Cricetulus griseus: one gene and its partner. The main gene of each other region encodes a partner of the protein of the gene in region 2 in a complex. Links are inferred from orthologs where the notes say so. Each region holds a gene or a part of one and is shown on either strand. Other genes may lie near its edges.

Evidence for each region. The genes of interacting proteins can lie anywhere in the genome.
Region 1: Ppp4r4 (region 2) and Ppp4r3a share a complex: the UniProt entries of both Homo sapiens proteins name them as parts of the PP4 complex. The link is inferred for Cricetulus griseus from reciprocal best matches to the Homo sapiens genes PPP4R4 and PPP4R3A.

What each region holds. Positions count from the first base shown.
Region 1 is NC_048598.1:104,697,373-104,700,933, reverse strand, and holds part of Ppp4r3a (serine/threonine-protein phosphatase 4 regulatory subunit 3A), read right to left. Parts: intron 3,436-3,561; coding exon 3,358-3,435; intron 3,244-3,357; coding exon 3,127-3,243; intron 1,166-3,126; coding exon 1,010-1,165; intron 1-1,009. UniProt on the Homo sapiens protein: Regulatory subunit of serine/threonine-protein phosphatase 4. May regulate the activity of PPP4C at centrosomal microtubule organizing centers.
Region 2 is NC_048598.1:191,010,615-191,014,175, reverse strand, and holds part of Ppp4r4 (serine/threonine-protein phosphatase 4 regulatory subunit 4), read left to right. Parts: intron 1-756; coding exon 757-901; intron 902-1,661; coding exon 1,662-1,703; intron 1,704-1,795; coding exon 1,796-1,870; intron 1,871-3,197; coding exon 3,198-3,267; intron 3,268-3,561. UniProt on the Homo sapiens protein: Putative regulatory subunit of serine/threonine-protein phosphatase 4.

The sequences.
Region 1 (3,561 bases), about 86 Mb from region 2:
GGAAATGATTGGTAACTGAAATCCAGAGGCCTAATGCATGTTCGTGGGGTGTGAAGATGCACAGGCCGGCATGTCTGCTCACCCAGTGGTTACAGGGCCTAAGAGAACAGCCTTTAGCTTTAATTACTCAAGATAGTCTGGTTCTCAAGATAGGACTATTTCATAGAAGAAAAATGTGATCATGATTCAATAATTCATGGTACATTTCTGCACGTAGTCTACCACTATAATTTTAAGAAGGAACCACAAATAGAAATTACTAGGCATTCAACTTCAAACTGGTGGAATAGTAGATTTTTAAAAATGTTATGCTTCATTTTGCAAGAAACACTGCAAGCTGAAATTCTGCAAACTCCCCTCCCCTAAAAGGAGACATAAATTTCCTCTTCTCAAGGAAATTGAGACGGTTTGAATCTGTTCTTAAGTAAAATTTGGGAGGAAGGAGAAAAAACAGAACTACTGGTTTAGTAGAGTGAAGTAGAAAAGCTCATACACATCCAGGGCTTCTACATACACTATGTCCCACCAAATTCAATCTACACTGCCAAGACAGGCTAACAGATTTTAAAGCCAATTTACCTATTCTAATTTCTGAGTAAATACCACCATAGCTTATATGAGAGTACAAGAAAATAACTTATTTTTATTATTATAAAGAAACACTTCCCTAATACATTTCAGGGCCATATTTTTTCTTGATTCTGAGGCTCCACCTCTAGTAGTCTAAATGCTTTCCAGTGAAAGTTACTTACAGTTCCACAAACAGAATGGTCAACTGATTTAAGGGTTTAAATAAGACAATATAGACAAGTCAGCTTCATAATTTAAAAGTTGACATCAAATACAATAAATTTATAAACTAAGGCAGGAGCAAATTAAGGGGACAAATGAGCCACCTAACACTATGGCTACACTTCCCAAATAGCAGCAGTTTAAATCTTAAAAATACATAACCCCAGCTATAGTCTTCTATGCATAAATACTTACTATTAGTGTAAATAATATTTACCTTGCTGGTTATTTTTTGCTCTGTTAACTTCTTACTTACATCATCATTCTGTTGTGCCTCCTGCATGACAAACTCTCGTACCATGGATGGATTATATTCAACCAAGTATGAGAATATATCAGTAGCAGCACTTCGCACCTGTGTATCATCCATGCCCTGCATAGAAAAAGTGCCATTCTCTTACAATTATAAAAACATGAACTTTATCAACAAAATTATCCAAAACCTGACAAAAGAAATTGTCACAAAGCACCAGACCATAAAACAAACATCTAAATGATTGGTAGGGGGAACCACTTTCCTGGTGGTGTAGCCACTGGTAAGTTGATGCTCTAGCAAACAACTCCTTATCCACATTCACTTATATAAGCAACCCTAATTAAAACCACTGGGTCCCAAAAAACAAAACAAAGACATGAAAGTAAGATAGGAATGAGAGCCAGTCAGTGGTGGCCCACACCTTTAATCCTGGCACTTTGGAGACAGAGGGAGGTGTATCTCTGAGTTTCAGTCCAGCCTGGTCTACAGAATTGAGTTCCAAGACAGTCAGTGCTATACAGAGACCCTGTTTAAAAAAAAACAAAACGGAAAGTAGGGATGCTTTAGGACAAAGAGAGGGATCAGCTAAAGTGGAAAGGAATGAAAAAGAGGATGGGAGACCATGATCACAACACACTGTATGAAATGGTCAGAATTGTAAAAATTTATCTAAGGGCTAGGGAGATTGCTCACTGGATAGAGCAGTTACCAAGAAAGCCTAAAAACCCGAGTTCAAATCCCAAGAACCCATGCAAAGCCAGGGATGACAGTGTCCACATTTGTAGCCCCAGTGCTTCTATGGTAAGATTAGAGGTGAAGACAGGGGACTCCATGAAAGCAACTAACCTAGCTAGCATGCAGTATATAACAACAAAAGGCAAGAGACCCTCTCTCAAACTGAATGGAAGGAAGCACGGATTGATACCCAAGTAGGCAGCATACATAGCAATGTCAAAGGACAAATCTTAGGAGGAGCCAAGGTCTTCCTTGGATCTGTTGCAGTGCTGCATACTCAAGGCTAGCTGTCTTGTAAGTTTCTGGACAGATCTGCCTCAGAATCCTACCTTACTGTGTGTTCTGGGATCATATTCTCCCCTCCCTCCCTCCCCCCCACATACCCACCCACCCCACATCCAGCTTCTGCTTCTGACATGGGTTTCGGGGATTAAATTTTAGTCATCAGGCTTGCATAGGTACCATTTTTAGTGGCGGCACCATTCCCCATCCTCAAGATATATTTAAAACCTTTTTTTTTTTTTTTTGGTGACAGGGCTTCTCTGTGTAGTCCTGGAACTCACTCCGTAGAACAGGTTGGTCTCAAACTCAGAGACCCATTGTCCTTCCTCTGCCTCTCTAGTGCTGGAATTATAAATATGTATATAATTGTCTGTGTAATGTATGATTTTTCAAGATCTAATTTCTTTGTGTAGTCCTGGGTGACTACACAAAGAGACCAGAAGTGCTTGGATTAAAGGCATGAATCACTATTCTCAACCATGTCCTTTTATTTTAACATTTCATTTGATAGGCTATAAAGCTAATTATTAAAGATGTGATTACATTATTATATGTATGTTCATATGTATGTACAACAAGGTCTAATTGTATAGCTCTCAAAGTCCTGGAATCCTTTGTATAACAGGCTACTTCAAACTCACATAAATTTCCCCAACTCTACCTGGGATTAAATGTGTATTACCACCACATCCAGCAAAAAATTATTTTAACAAAAGCAGTTTGCTAGTTAAACAAAGGAGGACTCTAATACTGGACTTGTATCATTTCTGTTAACTCTATGCTACACAGCTAGCACTAAATATCAGCTATACTCAAATGCTTTGCCTACTTCATAAAAACTTCTGTATTTATGTACTTAGATATATATGTTAATAATTAAAGAAAGAGAGGCCATTAACTTAGAGTTACAGAGAGAGAGAGAACACAAGCAGGTGCCTGGGAAGGAGGAAAGGGAAAAGTGATACAATTTTATAATTTCAAATAATAAAACTCTCCAATATCACATCCAGTTTTTGATATGGTTCACCTGGGCAGTTCAGAATGTAGAGAAGCAAACTTACAAGGATGACTTCTAAAGCTGGTAATATGCCCATATTTGACAAAGTCTTGAAAAAAGCATCTCTGTTTTGGGGTTGTAGCGTTTGAGAAAATGCACAAAATTCTTTTAAAAAATTAACCTGAAATCAGGAAAAAGGACAAGTATTAAAAAGGTCAATCTTAAATTAGAAGAGAATCAATTGAGTGTAAATGGCTATTCCACTTCTCTACCCTTCTAGTGTATGATTTCTTACCAATTCTTGTCTTTTTTCCTCATCTGTTGCTTCATCTGTCAGTTGTGCAAACAAATCTGTCAGAAATTTTTCATCTTCCTATGAAATAAATGATAAATTTAATTATCTTGCTGGCAAGACTATATAAAATACAATTTCAGCATGCTATAAACTAGCTTGATAAAAGATGTCATTTTTTTAAAAAGGAAAAAGTCATCTATTAAA
Region 2 (3,561 bases):
CTGCTACTCACAAAAGACATGCAGAAAGCAGGCTTCTCTGGGAACCCGTGCTGCTCTTTCTGGCCCGAAGCACCATTAGCTCTTGTTTGGGGTTGTCTCCATCTCTTTCCTCCTCTCCTTAACCACCAGTCTAGTCTCAAAATGTAGATGATAATTAGGAAAGTTAAGTCAGATCACTTCACTCCTCTGCTCCTGCCCTCCAATGATTCCTATTACATTTGAAATAGAAGCCAGGCTCTGCACAGTGACCAATAGGGTCCAGTATGAGCTGGCCCCTTGTCACTACTCAGGTCTCCTACTAAGCTCATCTTTGCTATATTTTGCCCCACGGCTAGTTTACTAATTCAGACTATCACTAGGCAAGCCTTCCCTATTGGCCATAATACTTTTCCAGACACTCAAGTGTCTTGCTCCCTGATTTTCTAGGTCTTTCCTTAAATACCATCTTTTCACTGAAAACATTATTAATTTCTCTAACACTGCTTTCTAGACTGACTCACCAGTTTCTGGCAGATGTTATCTTTATATGCATTCTGTTTTCCATGCCCCAAACTAGAATGCAAGCCCCCAAAGAGGATTTTGTTGGTTTGATTCAATTTTGTGTCCTGGTATCCAGAATAACAATGACTTATAAATAGTAGGCACTGCACACATATTTTGCATGGGCAGTTGAATTCTGAGTTTTCTAAAGCCTGAACTTTTTCAGTTGCACATTCCTATTACTGTTAGTTACTATTAAGCTCACTCTAAATACAGAATGAAACTTTGCTACCTGCTGCCCAAAGTGAAATCAGCTCTGAAGATTCCTGCAGACATGCATCTCCTTCAGCAATTAGAGATGTGTGTGAGAAAACTCCTGTGTCAAGAGAAAGATAAAGATGTCCTGGCTATTGTGAAAAAAGTAAGTGTCCCTCCTGCTTATAACACCTGTGTCCTGCAGTATGGCAGTGTTAACTTAAGCTTGATAGGATAACAATCTGCAAGTGTGGTAAGAACTAATAAATGACAGAGGGCATTTTTTAAGGGGCATTTTTGTTATTAGCAGTATGAGCTTGTGGGAGAGCTGAGCACCTTTGAGGTATTTGTGAGCCTGGCTCAAATGATGACTAATTCACTAGATTTTATTTCTAAGTGTTTGCATGGCAATAAAATTCCGGAAGTCATATTTTCTAGAAGAGTGTGGGAAGACTCCCTCAGAGTGAATCCAGTAGTCTGTTTGACTTTGTAAAGGAACTAGAGCTAGAAACACTGGCTGCTGGAGAACATACTAATAGGTGGTAGGGCCAGCATCATGGAGATCTGGCATCACCCAAGTACATCTCTTTCTAAACATTCAAACTTTATGCCATATGATTTTGCTCTAGCATGAGGATCTGTTTTGTGGATTGTGTGGAAATGTTGAAAAACTAAGTAAAAAATTTGGGTTAGTGACATCAAACCTTAAAATGCTTCAGCTTTCAAGAACTGACTTAACATGTGGGTGTGACTTTGGAACACAGTTTTTGAACATTTATTGGTGGTGAAAGATTAGCTTATTAATACCAAAGCAAAAAGTGTTCTCTTTGAATACCCCTGGGGAAGGAGTTTCTTTTAGAAATACTTGGCTGATTGTGTTTCATTACTGTTGAACCAACTGTAATTTCTAAAAACTTTCCTTGTAGACAGTATTAGAGTTGGACAGAATGGAAATGTCTATGGATGCGGTAAGTACACTCTACTTTATAGTAAAGAGATATTTATAGTCATCAAGAAGTTGTCCCTAATGATTGACAATGTTGTTTTAAATTTTAAACAGTTTCAGAAAAAAAATTATGAGAAAGATTTGTTGGATCAAGAGAAAGAAAGAGAAGAACTGCTCTTTTTGGAAATGGTATGTTGTTCCCACCCACATACTCCTTTCTGATTAGTTTTAGATGGGCTTTGATAGTAAACCTAAAGCTAATTTATTTCAGCTTTACATTGTTCCATATTTCCTAAAAGACTGAAGAAAAGTCTTGATTTTCTGAAGTTTTATCTTTTATAAATTGGAAGAAAAATTACATTTGAGATTGTTAGGAAAATGAGTTTCTTAAGTGAAACTAGTATGTATTTATTCACATGTATCCAGTCTAGACGATATATTCCCACCTACCCTTGACATCTGTCCTCAGCATCCATTGAGTTAGTTTCTAGCAAGAGCATGATCATGTTTTCTAGAACTCTGTGGCTTTAAATATCCCTGGTGTCAAAGATACTAAGCATCCTTTTGTTTGCTTATTGGCCATACTATCATGTTTTCTATAAAGTCCATTTTGAAAATTTAGAGTAGGTTGTTCACATTCTTATTAAGAGCTCTTTTGTCACATGCTCTCGTGTTGTGAATATTTTCTTGAACACTGTCTTCTCTTGGTGTATTTAACAGTCTTTTGAAAGTTCTATCCACTGCCTACTGCAAATACAGCAGTGGGCAGTGGCTGCCTGTTTAAAGGACTAAAGCCAGGCCAGGCTAGTTTGATTTTGTTGGCAATATTCCACTCTCTCCAAAATCACAAGCTGATGGTCAGTCAGCCTTTCAGAACCTTTGGTGTGGAAATGTTGTTTTTCTGAGGTTGTTAGTTCAGAGTCTTAAGTTTTCTCTCTATATCTTGCTTCAATAAGATATCTTAAATATGTTTGGTAGACTTTTCCCTTTCCTCTCAGTCTTTTGTTTGTTTTTTTATTTTGCTTTTTGAGACAGGGTTTCTCTGTATAGCCCTAACTGTCCTGGAACTTGCTCTGTAGGGCAGGCTGGCTTTGAATTTATGGAGATGCACCTGCCTCTGTCTCCTGAGTGCTGGGATTAAAGGTGTGCCCCACTATAGCCCCTCGAAGGCCTTGAAGTCTTTTTAAAGAAAGATATTTTGTTGTTCGATAAATAGGAATTGAAATAACCATGGTTAAACACATGCTCTGTTGATGAGAACCAATAAATGCTCATTGTAGAGTAATGCCAAAGTCATTGTTTTAGTTGGAAAAACTCCCAAGAGCAATATTCTGTGATATGACATACCACACATTAAAATAGCAACAACAGCACACCTCTGAATTCTGTACCACAGGGGAGCCCCGTTTTTTAAAGGCATTTTTGTGAGGTATATTTGTGTCTCTAAAGCTGAGAGTCATTTTCCTCAGAACAAGCTCCCAAGCTGCACCTGTAACATGACTCTGTGTCCCAACAGGAACAGCTAGAGAAGGAGAAACATCAGAACGATGGGAGGTCCTCCAGTGAGAAAAGCTTTGAGAAGAAACGTAAGTGGTTCTGTCTATTTCCTCTCTGTTCCAGGATTAATGCTGGGTGACTGGGGAAATCCAGGTCCCTTCTTGAGTCTTGTTAATACAGGAATTTAAAGATACATGTGAAGGGAAGCTCAAGAACAACTTGATTGGTTTTAAAAGAAAAACCTTGGAGTAGGCAAGCTGTTCATCTAGGTAGCTTCCTGGAGGAGTGGGACGGAGAAGAGAGAGAGAAAGAGTTAAGCAGGAATGGGGGACAGGAAGGTATGTGGTGGGGAGGGGAGCTTTGGAGAGAGTGAAGCCCAAAGC